Linked DNA regions of Alligator mississippiensis. Each later gene encodes a partner of the first gene's protein in a complex. Links are inferred from orthologs where the notes say so. Each region holds a gene or a part of one and is shown on either strand. Other genes may lie near its edges.

Evidence for each region. Proteins that work in one complex are often made in the same cells at the same time.
Region 2: the proteins of S100B (region 1) and CAPZA1 are in contact, whole or in part, in an NMR structure (PDB 1MQ1), measured with the Homo sapiens proteins. The link is inferred for Alligator mississippiensis from reciprocal best matches to the Homo sapiens genes S100B and CAPZA1. Residues at the interface, in NP_006263.1 of Homo sapiens: Glu46, Glu47, Lys49, Val53, Lys56, Val57, Thr60, Phe77, Met80, Val81, Ala84, Cys85, Glu87; in NP_006126.1 of Homo sapiens: Thr265, Arg266, Ile269, Asp270, Trp271, Asn272, Lys273, Ile274, Leu275.

The regions. Positions count from the first base shown.
Region 1 is NC_081827.1:188,578,311-188,586,354, forward strand, and holds the start of S100B (protein S100-B), read left to right. Parts: upstream 1-5,031; 5' UTR 5,032-5,127; intron 5,128-8,044. UniProt on the Homo sapiens protein: Small zinc- and- and calcium-binding protein that is highly expressed in astrocytes and constitutes one of the most abundant soluble proteins in brain.
Region 2 is NC_081837.1:44,706,782-44,714,124, forward strand, and holds the start of CAPZA1 (F-actin-capping protein subunit alpha-1), read left to right. Parts: upstream 1-4,277; 5' UTR 4,278-4,331; coding exon 4,332-4,370; intron 4,371-7,343. Other genes in the region: ST7L (suppressor of tumorigenicity 7 protein-like), read right to left, coding at 2,212-2,341. UniProt on the Homo sapiens protein: F-actin-capping proteins bind in a Ca(2+)-independent manner to the fast growing ends of actin filaments (barbed end) thereby blocking the exchange of subunits at these ends.

The DNA.
Region 1 (8,044 bases):
GGACTTTTTTTTTTTTAAAGTGCTGGGACACTTGGGCCGGGTGGGGCAGCCATTGACGGGACTGGGAGAGTTGGTGGGGGATGAGGCCTGTTTGATTTGGAGATTCAGCCGATTTGGTGGTAGACAAATCTCCGAATCAGATTTGTCCAAATCGCTTTGGGACAGTGATTTGAATTGCCAAATTGAATTACTGCCCCCCCCCCAAATCAGCCGAATCCAAAGTGAATACTAGCTGTTTTGCACAGGCCTACTTGTTACCCTTGAATTAATCCTATCAAGTCTACAGAAATCCAGCTTACCTTTCCATCCTTCCATATGCTTTGTGCTTCATTAGTGTTTGCTACAAACATCTACCCAGTCATCTTCCATCTGGTGTGTGAGCCCTACAGCAAATCATTTGTTCCCCTTGCACAGACTTGGTCTCCTGGTTGCTACTGTAAATTCACAATAGTCCTGGGAAGCTGTAATTGCTGCAAAGCCCCCTCACTAGATAAAGAGATCTGGTTTTATCCCATTTCCTGTGGGAACTGTAGGGTCCATCTTTGGACTTTGGCTGAACTGTGAGGTTGAATCGCACATTTCCTTGGATTGTGCAAACTAATATACACCAATTTGTGTTTGGAAGCAATTTCTGGGAGTTTCTTATGATAGCAATGTGAGATGCTGGGGCCAGGCCAGAAGCCTTGGCCTAGGCCCAGGCCAGAAGCCTTGGCCTAGGCCCCTTTGAATTCACCCCAAGGTCTGCTACTAGTTCATAGCTCCTTGTGTGAGATTATTCTAGCTGTGAGTGGGGGAAGCCTGCTCAGATTGAGCTCTTCCTACCCCACTGCACAGATGAGAGCGAGAGACTGTGACTGCTGCAGGCACCTAACAGCTCTGGCTCCCAGGCCTGTGTATCCACAAACACAACCTCCCCCTTAGTTAACGGTAGTGTTTTTGCTGTGCCAGCCCCTCCCATCTACAAACGTTCCCCAACTGTTCTCTATGAACCCATAACCTGTTCCTTCCTTTCTCTGGCCAGTCCTTGCTCTTCATCCACCAGGTTTCATTCCCCTCCTTTTGTGAACTCTCTGGTCCCTCGCCCCGCCACCCCAAGTCCATGCATCTCAGAGGCTTAATGGGCACATCCTGGGTTGGGATGACTTACTGTTGAATTTGGGTATGTTCGGGCAGTTATGCTGGCTGCTGCCTCTCCGCAGCTGGCCTCACCTCCCTTGAATTAACTGGAAACAATTAAGATTAATCAGTAAAATATTCTTAAACCAAAAATAAACACGTTTCACAAGGATTTAAATAGTTCTTGGTAAATTGCCTTAAAGTCATACTTTATGTTAACCCAGCACAACAATTTAATGTAGACACAACCTGTTAGTATGGTATTGCTAATCCAAACAGGCAAACAAATGAGTCTAGTTTCCCAAATCAGAAGACTGGTTTATGACATTTTTGTTTAATACATTTTAATTTTTTTATATCTGGCTACCAGTTTTAGAGCTTTTAGAAGTGCGCCTACTTCACATTTTCAAGAGAGAGCAGGAGCTGACTGTGCTGCTGCTGAAATATAAGGTGGAGCGTAGTTTTAGATATATGTGTTAGGGTGTGGTGTGATTTTTTTTTTTTAATTACTAAACTATTTATACATGTAGAGACTCTAGTATGATCATAGCAAGTCTTGTGTAAAGGTTTTTGTGCCTGAGAAGCTTTTTTCATTTCCATTATGGAGCATATCAGTATAACTTGTCCCCACTAGGGGGAGTTGTTCAACTTCAGCAATATCTGTATAGATAAAGCCATATGGATTTTTCAGGGAAACATCCTATGAGATATTTTATCTAGAATATTTTTCTGCTGTTCTGCAGTGTAGACATTAGAGGGAGCAGAAGATACAAGAAATCCAGCACTGTAGCAGATTCTGTAAACAGCACCCTCAGGATCTCCTTTGCTGCTGCTATAGTTCTGCTGCAGTCATTCACTCCAATACAAAACAAGGGCAAACCATTGCTGTTCTGATTTGGTAGCATATTATAGGTACTTTTCATTCATCTTGTGCTGGTGTAAATATCTACACAAGGCACTGAGAAATTAGGCCAGGCTTAGAAAATTTAGGTTAGTGCATTGTTAGGCCTTTTCTGAACACAGGTGCGCAGGTTTAACTAACTTAAAGCCTCCTTTTTAAAACAGTTGCCAAACAACTTGCATTGATTTAATGCAGTAAGGAACTGACTTAAAATAACACAGATCAGCTCTCATGTGATATAAAAGTGCATCAGTATTGATGATTCTTATGCATTTACTGAGTGATTCTTTTGATATTTGGTGCTTTTTCTTGAAAGAGTCACAGAGTCTCTACTGAGGAAAACCCAGGCTGTAGATGTGTTCCCTCGGTGAGGTCAGGCCATGATAAGTGTTCTCTTTCACTCTTCTGCACAACTTGTGCTGGTGGGGTAAAAGGTTTTGGAACCAGAGAGCAGTGATTATTAGTCAGCTCTGCACTTTGACTACTTGGAGTGCCTTATAGAAGGGAGTGGAAAATCACTGTATTACAGCAGCCCCTGGTTACATATGCCTGCACCCTATGCTGCATCTTCTCATAGGGGATATCAAGATATGTGCCAAAATCTTGAGTGCCTAATCCTTCAGCTATGTTCAGTATCAGCAAGAAAAAACAAAATTTGCTTTTCATCCTTACCCCCACACTGTCCCTTGGTGGTATGGCCAAGACCTGCACCCCTCCTTAAAGCAAAAGGACACCTCTGAAGAATGTTTTCCCATGATGGTGATCCCAGCTGGAGGGATGGAATGGGTGCTGGTACTGTCCCAGGGTCTGAGCCCCAGCTCAATATGTGCATTAGCTCTGATTTTGTGTAAGCCATAAGGTCTTTGTGCACAACCAGCCGCCTGTTTACCGTAGCACAAGGCTTATAGCTCTTGAGCTTTCAAGCAGTCAGTCTGCACTTTCAGACACCACTGAATCGTATTCCTGGAGTCAACAGAATTTCCCCTGCTAAGGGGTAACAAGAGAGCATCAATTTGTAGAAATAAATGAACAGATGGCATTTACACTTGACTGGAGATTGCAATTACTGCAGGGCTGGATTGGCCCTTTTACAACAGTGCCTGGCTAGGGACAGAAGTTTCTGCAGGGGAAACCCCTCTAGAGCTTTCTCTTTATTCATCCAATCCCCTCAAGAGCAAGCAAGTATCCTGCTGAGGGGAGGACCAACCCGGCAGATCGTCCTTAACAGTGGACTTGTGCCTTTATCTCTGAGCTTCCAGGTGACTTCCATCTCTGGGACTTTTTGAATTCGTGGCTCCCAAGCCTGAAAGTCCCCCCAGCTATATCTCTGCAGAGCCAATGTTCATCATCTATTCATGCTATTTCTCCAGAGAGTTCTCCTGAGAATCTGGAAAGTAGCAGATGCCTTCTGCAGGAATAGCAAGGAGGCCCCAGGGGCATGACTGAATCCTTCGTTAGTGAACAGCACAGTAGTGAGGGAAGGAGCAGGTAGGTGCTTTTTCACCAGTAATTCAAGATTTTCCCCTCATTGTTCATGAAATCTTTCTGAAATCTATTCCTTCCCAATAGACTGGCTGACTGTATTTAACAAACATTTAGGACTCATTCATATTTGCTCACATGGAGGTTTTTTTGTTTATTTTTGCTGATTTCACTGTACTTTGGATAAGATTCTCAGTTACTGTGGAGATTTCCCTTGATTTTGATAGGCTTTGAATCAGGCTTTGGAGTATGAGCCTCATCCACAGTTGTCTGCCCAATAGTCTAGGTTTCTTCCCATCCTATGGGATTTAGGATTCAGTTGAGGATTCCCAATTAATTGCCTTCATTGCCTCATTTGTGAGTTGCCACATTTGTGAGTTAGCGAGTCAGCTTCAAGAAAGAACAATTCGTTATAGAATTAGCTTTTAGAGACGGTTGGATGTATCTGCATGATCTCTGACTCTTCAGAAACCGTTGTATGCTACTAGCTTTGCAACTAAGCCCCTACGCTTAAAGTAGAAGCATGCTACTTACCATCTCCCAGGTCTCCTGCTCTTGTTTCTTTTAATAGTACAGAAGACCCATCAGTCAGTATCTTATTGTCACTCAGAGCCTGGTGCGCATACACTTATCAGCGACAAAGAAGGAAACTGGCTTTTTCATCTGTGTCTGCTACAAAAAGGCCTCATTGTATTTTATTGGGTAAAGGGTGGGGTGCAAACAGAAGAGTGAACGAATTAACACAACAATTTTTATGTATTACTTTAAACATGTGACCCAATTCATAGCTGCACTGAATTTAGACCTAGTGGAAGAAAGTGAGGTGCGTGTAAAACAAAAAAAAAAGAAATCAAAGCCTGTTCTAACCCTGTGAACCCCAAAATCCTGTGCATCCTATTTTGAAAATGTTAGCAATGGAGTAAAATAAAAAGTAACCTTCCTTTAAAAAACAATAAGGTACCCTAACAATAAGGTAAGCAAACCTGAAAGCAAAGTCATATGCCAGCCAGCCAGAGCCAAGTCTAGAACACTTAGTTTGGCACTCAGCAATAATTCTGCACAAGCTTCCCTGACTATTTAGCCTGGATCTTACCTGTCGTACAACTACCAATTATGTGGTGGTTCAGAATGTAGAAAAAAATTTACCTTCAACAGTGACTAGGGGCCTGACCCAGAAGCCACTAAAATAACTGGTGGCTGGTCAGGACCTAGGAACGTAACAACCCCACAGCTCATTCATTCTGTTCAAAGGTAAAAAGTCAGATCATTATCCCATAATAATACTGATTCCTCCCCTGCAAACTGGGTTTTCAGAGCCTAAATGTTTTTGACTTGGTGTTGCAGGGCACCTTGGTGCCCTGCTCCTAGAGAGTGGAAACTACCAGGGAGAGAGAGCAGGACATAACGAGCACAGCTGCAGGTTGCCAGGGCAACTGGAGGCAGCGAATGACTGACACCTGACAGTGGTTAGTTGGCTGTAAGGGGCAAGGCCTGGCCCTTATAAAGCCCAGAGCTGAAGCCAAGCTGGCAGTTCTCTGCCAGCGGCCGGGGAGGCAGGAGATCCTGGAGCTAGGATGCGAGCATTGTGGGAACCGCTCTAGCTGAGTGAAGGAGGGCAGCTCAAAGAGGTTTGATCACCATGGTTTAGCCAGATGGCTTATAGTTATGTTGTAGCCTAGGGGCTTGTGGTTTTGTTGTTGTTTATTACACCGGTGGCTAGGGTGAGGCTATTAGGGGTTGGAGGAGGCTTCATAGGGAGCCCCAGGGGGGTGCGGGCCCCAGCGCCAGTGAGGGGGCAGTATTATTAGGGAGCCCCAGGGCGGGCGCGGCAAGCCCTGAGGAAGGCCTAGTGCTGCAGTAAACCCCGGAGAAGGGCGGTGTACTGCGGTGAACCCTGAGAGAAAGGGGGTAGCAGTGTGGTGAGCTCTGGAGAGCAGGGCTAGCAGTGCGGTTGGGCCTGAAAGACAGGTGGCTTGACGAGAAGTCCCAGAGAGGGTGCAGAAGTCCCCAGGAAAGGGGGCAACATTACAGGGAAGGCCCCAGAGAGGGGCAACATTACAGGGAGCCCCCGAGTGGGCTCGGAGAGCCCAAGAGGGGGGGCAGCATGACAGAGGAGGCCCAAGAGAGCGGGCAGGTGTACACAGGAGGCCCCAGAGAGGGGTGACATCACAGAGAAGGCCCCGAGGGGGCTTGGAGAGCCCAGGAGGGGGCAGCATAACAGAGAAGGCCCGAGAAACGGGCATGAATATAGGCAGAGACACACCAACATCTATTCCATCTGCGAGGCTTGGGGCGTGGTATCGGGGGTGGCTGGAGCCACGTGTAGCTCATAAGGCTAGGGTGCCTGGGAAGCACCCATCATACGAGGAGACCCCTGGTGGGTCCGGGAAAACACGGGGACAGAGGTCCCAGCTAACTGTGCCCAAGGAGACGTGAGGCAGCCTCCCAACTTAACCTAACATCAAAGACGTGGTGGGTAAGAATAGAGGGTGCCCTTGGGCTGATTTGGCACGGAGGAAGGGGCCTCAAGGAGTTCACGGCCCTCCTGTAGGACCCCCCCGTGACACTTGAGCTGTACTTACAGGCACAAAAGAGCTTATGATTTCATTCCAACATCCAAAATCACACCCCCTCTCGCTCCTTCAGAATAAATAAGGGTCCCTCTGCCTTAGGCTGTTAACACTTTTAAATAAAGCTTCTGCCCCACTCCCCCACCAAAAAAAAGATGAAAGAGATCCGTTGCTCCAAAAGTATAGAGCAATATGTGATAGAAAAGCAATTGCGTACACAGTAATGTGATTCCATAAAGTACTTTTCATACATAATTTTTAAAGCATTTTACAAAACAAGGCACTTCTGTTGTCTGCATTTATGGATGGACAAAATTATGCATAAGAGCACAGGAAAGTGATTTGCACAATGCTCTCCATCAGTTCAGTGGCAAGGACAGGAACCAAACCTGGGACTGTGCCAGTACTCAATTAGTCTTTAACATACAACTGATATTGGTGGTCATTTTCAACTTAAGCACCTGACCCAGGGGTGGGCAAAATGTGGCCTGCCAGGCCATTCTATCTGGCCCATGGGGCCCCTAAAAAATTGAGAAAATTAATATTTATCTGCCCTGGGCTGCCTGTCATGTGGCCTTCAATGGCTTGCCAAAACTCAGTAAGTGGCCCTTTGCCCAAAATAATTGCTCACCCCTGTACTAAAGCCTCTGGGTCCCCAGAAAGTACAAAGCTAAGAATAATTCAGACATTTGATGGAAATATTCAGGGATCTGATTAAATAAATATTTTATTTATGTATTTATTTTAGTACATAGTGAAAAGTAACCACACAACAATAAGAGTCACTGAAAGTTACTTTAAGATATTTATATAGTCAATGTAGGGAAAAAGGACATTTTACTTAAAGCCCAACACCTAGAGAATAATGAACTATTCTGTTGGTGTTTTCTTCATTGCTTCTGTGCAATAGCCTTTCTAAATCACATTTGTTTAGTCCATGTTAAGAACATGCAACATTCCAGGTGGAGGGTTCTTTTGTGACTGTGATCTATCTGGATTTCTGTACATACTTGTTCCATTGGAGCTATTGGTAGTTGTGTTCCAGATTATTTGTACATTATCCTGAAGACCTTATCTATATTATCTTTTCCCTTAACATCTCTCCTGTTTACATTAGCAGCAGTATAACACCACCATGGGAGCACTTCTCTAGACCTGACATTGTTATTGTATCACAGTGCTGTCAAATCCCACTCGCTATGGGCATTTATATATGTGCACCAGGGAAGGGGGGAGGAGGGAGCAGAGCTGCTTTAATTAGAGCGACTCCAAGAACCACTCTTATTAAAGCACCTGGAGCATTATGTGTGCCAGTGTCCCCATGCTGAAAAATGGCAGCAGGCACCTCCTAGATCCTGTTATAGATTCATAGATGTTAGGGTCGGAAGGGACCTCAATAGATCATCGAGTCCGACCCCCTGCATAAGCAGGAAAGAGTGCTGGGTCTAGATGACCCCAGCTAGATACTCATCTAACCTCCTCTTGAAGACCCCCAGGGTAGGGGAGAGCACCACCTCCCTTGGGAGCCCGTTCCAGACCTTGGCCACTCTGACTGTGAAGAAGTTCTTCCTAATGACCCATCTAAATCTGCTCTCTGCTAGCTTGTGGCCATTGTTTCTTGTAACCCCCGGGGGCGCCTTGGTGAATAAATACTCACCAATTCCTTTCTGTGCCCCTGTGATGAATTTATAGGCAGCCACAAGGTTGCCTCTCAACCTTCTCTTGCAGAGGCTGAAAAGGTCCAGTTTCTCTAGTCTCTCCTCGTAGGGCTTGGTCTGCAGGCCCTTAACCATACGAGTGGCCCTTCTCTGGACCCTCTCCAGGTTATCCGCATCCTTCTTAAAGTGTGGCACCCAGAATTGCACGCAGTACTCCAACTGCGGTCTGACCAGCGCCCGATAGAGGGGAAGTATCACCTCCTTGGACCTATTCGTCATGCATCTGCTGATGCACGATAAAGTGCCATTGGCTTTTT
Region 2 (7,343 bases), on another chromosome or scaffold:
GGTCTTGTCCAGCACGCCATCAGCCACTGGGAACTAACAGTAAGGGCAACTGGATCCCACATCCAAAAACCACTGCAACAAAGAGCATGCCAAAAGTGAATGTGTTTAGGTCACATAGTGCAGTCACTGATTTACACCCCCTGCCTTTATTTACCCATTTCCAGTGCAACAGAAGAGCGGTCCTCTGTGCTTCTATGCTGTCTTTCAGACTGCTACTCAGGAGCAAACATACTTTTCTAAACCCTAATCCAGTCCTGCAGGGAAGCTGCAACTGGGAGAAAGCTAGAGGCAGACAGCTCCACTAAGGGGAGACCTGTGTCACACCCACCACCTGTTTAGCACTGGGACTCAACAACTACCGTCAGGCTGCATTTGAAGCTGCAGGTTGAAAATAGCCTTGAGAAAATCTGATTTAAATAGCCAACAGCTGGGATTGGCAAGAAGGGTCACTTTACCTTCAAAAAAAACAAGGGGAGAAATACACCTGAAGGAAAAGAGACAAGTCTCAATTGTTGATAAAAGAGATAAGGTTGGAAAAAGACTAAGAAAAAAAATGCTATTCTAGACACTGGTGCTGTTATAGTAACAGCATAGCTCTTCCAGCTCCAATCAACTCTTGTATTCAGCTTCTGATCAAAACGCTGAAGCATCAGTTCCTCACCATCAGCTAATGTTTTAAAAGCAAGGAAACAAGTCCCTGAAAAGAGAAATTGTCTGCTGCGTTGCAAACAGGCAGAACTGCAGCAGCACAAACTCCAGCATCTCAAATAAAGAGGCAACAGTCCTGGGAGGAGCTTATTTGACTTTCACTGGAAAGTCACACACCTGCATCAGAGTTCATAGTGGCAAAAGATGTCCTGCAAAAATAACAGCTCTTTCACACCTCTGAAGAGACACTGTCCTCTGGGCTAAAAACCCAACCGCGTTGTCTACTGTGGAAGTGACCTCTCTGAGAGGAGGCAGAACAGGGAACGCTAAGCAGCAGGCCCAGGTGCTAATTAATGAACCCCTGTCCCATTAAAGAGGGGAAGGAGAGGCAGCTGATGACAATAAACCTGAAGCCTCACGAGCTCAGCCACAAGCACGGCCATCCAGGGTCCCTTCAATTTTTAATGACACTTGTGACTACTGCAAAGTCACGAAACCCTTGTCCTTTGCTAGACCTTCACCTAGAAAACTCCTGCATCGTCCCTTTTTCGCTGCACCGTTCTAAACGCTAATCGGGATGGGTGTCGTGCTTCCTACACCTCAGAGACTCCTACATGCTTCGGAAACAACCTATCGAGGCAATTTTAAACGTGTCTGCAGGCAATAAAGCAGACTAGGAGCATGGTGGTGGGGTGCCGTACAGCATTTAGTTTTTCCAATAACCCCCAGTACCAGGTGACACCCCAAGCCAAGCTGAAACCACGGGTGCTGGGAAGCCAGCACACTCAGCCTGTACGTGGTTGTGGCCAATGACGTTATGTACAGATTCACAAAGACAATCTACCGTGGCTCAAATAAACCCGAAAGCAGGCCTGGGGGACGTTTCCAGTTCCACGCGCAATATGGACACGCGGCAGAGACAGATCTGCCCCCCCAATACGTGCAGGATCGGTGGGGTGAGCTCGAAAGCAGCCGGCAGTAAGTCCATACACACGTGCCACCCCGTAACCGCAGGAGGCCCTTTGAACGGTGAGACGTGTGGTTTCAGAAACACGTGGGGTGACTATCAGAGAGAACTGTGTGGCTGTCGTCTATAGATATGAAACCGTTACGCCCTCTATTTTTCTCTTAAAATAAAGGGCTCAGAGGTGTCGGGTTTTGTATCAACAGAGCAGAAGAAAACCAGAATGTCCTTTAGGATGGCCACCCTGGAAACGCAGCAAATCCCTCTTTTTGGGGGGCTGCCCCAGCCTCTCCTAAGATCCAAGGGAACCACCTGCCTGGCACGCTCATCGTGATATTTCGTACGTGTTTTTGGAAACCAGCACGGGACAAAGCAGGACCCCGTGAACGCTGCCAAGCCTGGCATTCGAGGGGCCTGTCCCCAAAACCTCGTCTCGGCCCTGCATGAAGAGCGAACCCCGGTCCTTTGCGCGGGCCGCCCCTGCGAGTGCACGGCACCCATGCGGGGAGGAGGGGGACGCGGGTGCCCCCATGCCAGCTCTCTGGGAGGCGTCGGGGCCCTGCCCCGCTCCCCCCCTCCTGGGGGCCCACAGCCCTCACCGGCCGCCAGCCTGTCCCGCAGCGCGTAGAGCAGCGCGGGGGCGGCCAGCAGCGCCAGCCCCGCCGCCCCCCGCCGCAGCCGCCGCCGACACCGCGCCTCCCCGCCGCCGACACCGCCGCTCTCCGCCATGGCCCAGCCGGGAACCCTGGGAGAGGGAGAGAGAGAGGGAGAGGGCGGGGGCACGGCAGCCGGAGCCAGCCGCAGCCCGGCCAGCGCCTCCATAGGCAGCGCCGCAATCAGCGCGAGCCCCGCCGGCTGCACGTGGCCGCCTCGCACCGCGCCGGCACGAGCCCCCGGGCAGCACTCCTCTCCCTGCACACACGTGCGGGCTGCACCCTGCCCCCAGCAGCCCCCGCCCCAGCTGCTTCATCCCAGAGCAAGCTGTCCCCACCCCGTCCAAACACCTCCAGGCATGGGGAGTCACCCCCTCTCTGGGGGCTTTACTACCCTCCTCATCTCCCAGCTCAGCTTCCCCTGCTGCAGCTGGAGCCCATTGCCCCTGTGCTGCAGCACTGCACAAAAGGGAGGGATACACCCTTCCCCTTGAGAGGCGCACTTAGTGTAACCCCTGCTCCAAGCAGGACCAGCCCCAGCGACTTCATCTTAGGCAAAACTGCGTCCACCCCTGTTTTAAACACCCCCAAGGGGAGCTTTACAACCCTCCTGCTGAGAAACTGGTTCCTCATCTCCCAGCTCAGCTTCCCCTGCTGCAGCTGGAGCCCATTGCCCCTGTGATGCAGCACTGCACAAAAGGGAGGGTTGCATCCTGCCCCAGGGGAGTCCCACCCCTGAGCCAAGCAGGACCAGCCCCAGCTACATCACCCCAGACAAAGCTGCGTCCACCCCGGTTTTCAACACCTGCAAGGGTGGAGATTTACCCCCTGCCTGGGGACCTTTACGGCCCTCCTGCTGGGGACGTGGTTCCTTATGTCTAAGCTCAGCTTCCCCCGCTGCAGCCGGAGCCCGTGGCCCCGCGTGCTGCCGTCTGCCCCATGGAGAGCAGTCACATCATCACACAAAAATGAGGGTTGGATCCTTCTCCTTGGGAGTCGCACGCAGTCCCACCCCTGCTGCAGGCAGAGCCGGCCCCAGCTACGTCGTCCCACACAAAGCCGTGTCTACCCGGGTGGTAAACCCCTCCAGGGATGGAGACTCACCACCGCTCTGGGGGGCCTGTCCCGTGCTTCACCACCTCGGAGCGAGGGAGTTTTCCCTAATATCCAACCTCAACCTCCCTTGCTGCAACGTGAGCCCGTTGCTCCTTGTGCGGTCGTCCGTCCCCACCGAGGCCAGGGCAGCTCCATCCTCCTGCTATCTAGTCCCCTCAGTCTTCCCTTCTGCAGTCTGAACACGCCCATTCCCCTCGGCCTGTCCTCAGCACCCGCAGCGGTCGCAAGCGCCACGAGCAAGCGGCGCTGGGCCGGCGGCACCCACCCTGGGCAGGGCCTGGGCCTGTGCTGCACCGCTCGGGGGGGGCGCGTGGCCCCGTGGGTTTGCTGCCGTCCCCCTGCCCGGGTCGGGAGCAGAGCCCAGTCACGGCTGCGCCCGACAGTGCCTGGGGCTGTCGCTTTGCCCACTCTGCAGAGGGCACTGGCCGGCCTGAGAGGCGCCCCTGGGCCCCGCCTGGCAGGTCCGGCCCTCGCTGCACGTTACATTCATGGCACGGTTGGTGAAGGAATAACTGCCGCCTTGTCCTTCTCCCAAGAGAGAGGCTAGCAATAGGGCAGCCAGGCTGCGTCTGGTTCCATGCGGGCGGGGGCAGCGCGTTTACATGGGCTACTACTTCGGAGCCATACAAGCACACTTAGCTCCCCTCAGCTGCCCACCCCCAAGATGGCGGGGGCGGCTTCCTCGCGCCTCAGCAATGCCCTTCACCAAGATGGCGCCTCACATTCCACTTCCCCCACACATACAGCTGCCCACTCCCAAAATGGCGGCGGCGGCTTCCTTGCTCCTCAGCAATGCCCTCCACCAAAATGGCGCCTCACATGCCCTTCCCCCACACAGCTGCCCACTCCCAAGATGGCGAGGGCAGCTTCACCAAGGTGGGGAGAGTATCCGGTTCCGGCAACGCTGCGGTTCCCGGCGTGCTCGGCGCGGCGGCGGCCGTGGAGTCAAGATGGCGGACTTGGAGGATCGGGTGTCGGATGAGGAGAAGGTAGGGCGGTCTCGGGGGTTTCCCTCTTGCGCCCGCATCGCTAGTGGCGGGGGCTTGTCGCGGGGCCGGGCCCCTCTCCGCTCCTGTGGCACCAGCTCCCCAAAAAATAGATATAAAACCAACGAAGGAATCAATCCAGTGCCTCGGCCGGGAGCACGAGCAGCCTCAGGCAGCGCTAGAAGCGGCCCCGAGACTAGGTTTGACCCGTTGTCAACACCACTGGTCTTTCATTTCAGCAAGCAGCGCGCTACAAACACCAGCCCCTGCCCAGGTGCGGCGGACGGGGTCTCTGGCTTCATGCTGGGGACGTCCCCCCAAACCCAACGCAAGAGGCGAGCACTTTTCTTGGTCTGCAAGCTTGTTTCTTCGTCCCCAGCCGAGCAAAGACCCCGCCAGCCGCACCTGGGCTTGGTGCACGGCTCCCTGGCTGGATGGATCACACACTGCCACAGTCCCACTGACGCGAAAGGCAAGCGAGCGACGCAAGGGGAGGCCTCTAGCCTGTTTCGGCCTCGCTTCCAGCTCTCCTGGATATCCCGGCCGAACCGTTGGCAAGCCAAAGAGCCCCTCCTGCATTTCAGATGTGAAATGCAGCGTCTGGCCTGGTCCCAGCTCTGCAGTCGGGTGCGAGGCTCCCCCGCTTGCTGCCGCAATGAAAGATGGGTTGAAATCTCGCCCCTTTTCAAACCAGCTCAAAGCCCTTCAGCTCGCCGGAGGGTGCTCCCGATGGTCCCGCGTCGAGCCCCTTGAGGTCCCTTTCAGCCCTCACCTTGTCCGATTATTTGGTTTGTTTCCTGTCGCTCTTACCAGGGCCCTGAGTTGTATGTATTTGTTTAGTCCTTCGTTCGTTTATTTTAAAAACGCCCTGGGATTGTTTTCGTCAATGGGAGGAACAAGTGGTTGCACAGGAGAAACATCAACGCTCGAGTAGCCCTAGAGGGTTGTCTGTCTCACGCAAACAGATAGGGGGAAGAAATCTCTGTTTTAAATAAATAATCGAGCATTACTTCTACTGGTAAAATAAAAATAGCTTTTGGGGGAGGAGGGGTTGCGTCTTAAATGAGGCTTTTTAAGTCACGATTCTTTCTAAACTCATTAGCGTCACTAGACAAGGAAAGGATGGTTTGCTCTGCTGTTCCTCAGTGGCTTTACTGTACAGGCAATATTACAGATGAGAAGACTGGCAACTAATAGAAGTAAATGTCAGAGATGCTTTCAGGTCTTGTGTTGCGTGGATTTGATTTTGCCAAGCCAGCAGAAAGAAGCAGCCGCAGTCTTCTGCTTTCACTCCGTTTCCTCATCGGGCCGTTCTTTTTTTAAACCTAGCTTAACAGCTGATTCGGTAGGTTTGCCTAGCATACCTAGGCCCCAACTCTGCGTTTCGCTGCATGCAAGTTTACCTCTGAAGGTCCGTAACTATCTCTTCCAGTGATGTTTCTGAGTCACTGATAATCAGTGACTTAAATGTAGGCAGACAGCAACCTCTAGTCCAGCACCTGTTCACTTCATTAATGCAGAATTAAGTCAGTAGTGGGATATAGTGGTATGATTTAACCAGATTGTTTTGAAACATGATTACCTACTTTTTTTAATGAAGACTACAATATAAAATGTTGATAATGAAGTAGAACGGACAGAATTTGGTCGCTGTGGCATAAAATAGATACCAGTAGTGGGTTATTTTACAGCAGAAGCAAAATCCTCTTCAAAATAATGACTTGGAATGCACAAAAGGATCTGTCATTGAAACTGGTCTTTGGGCTGAAACGCCCTAGATTTCATTACGAGTCAGTAGTGCGGGGGGGGGGGGGACACTTGAATTATTAAAAAAAACAGAAGTGATGTAGCCCGTTTCCTCACTGCTGTGGTTTGGTTTCAGCCTGAGTTAGAGTGGGGGGCCTGGATTCTAACACATGGCCTCAGCAAAACAACCAGGCCTAGGTTATTGCATCTCCAAACTCGGGTTGCCATTGGAGGGGATAAAGGCTAAATTAGTTTCTTACCTTGAATAAGCACTGCTCTGGCTGTTGTGAACTATTTCTACACAAACACTGTTTGCAGCTGCCATTTTGCCTGCTTAAACTAGCAAGTGGTTAGCTTCCCTACTAGATGCTTTCCCCATTTCAGAAAAAGGAAGTGCATTTCTGCCACAACCCTGCAGAGGCACTTGAAATGGTAATGATGAGGCAGGAAGTAGGTCAGGTCCTGTTTTCTTAGTTCTGCAGACATGCGTGCTGCCAGGGTGCCAGCACCCAAAGGCAAAGGTACTCTAGAATGACAGTAGTTTGACAGCTTGGTATGCAGGGCTACTTTGCTGTGTATGAGGGGGGCTTCCTTCACATTGAGCTGGATGATAGCTGTATTTAGTGGTTTAAGGTAACCATTTAGTGGTTTAAGGTAACCAAGTCTCATACCCTGGAAGGAGCAAGAGGGTAGGGAAATTATACTTAACAAAAATAGCCCGTTCCCCTAGCTCATTGCTGCTGGTTTTCAGATATGGACATGGCACTTCCTGCCTTGCACATATAATTTCACCTGTCTTGCTAAAGTAGCAGAAGGTGGTGGCACATGGGCGTATGTAGGAGTGGCCTTTTATAATTCCCTGAAACATCTGAGTCTCAGCCTTGATCTTTTAGGAAGCAACCTTTTGTACACAGAGCAGATTGAAAGAAGGTTGGATATATTAAAAAAGAAAAGAAAGTTGGAGAGAGAAAGTTACAAGTATAATGGTATTTCTTTAGCAAGGCACCTTTCACAATCCACATAATGGCCATATAATTTTCCTTGTTGCACATCACTATATAAATATGCATGTGGCTTAGTTATTGTCATGGCAGCTCTCCTGTTGGGAACTTCCCCATCAGAATGGATCTGGGTGTCTTTTAAGTGAAGCTGTCTGTACTCAGAGGACAGTATCTGCAGTAGGGCCCTGAACATTTCCAGAGAGACATGCCTCTGCATGTGCTTACACTT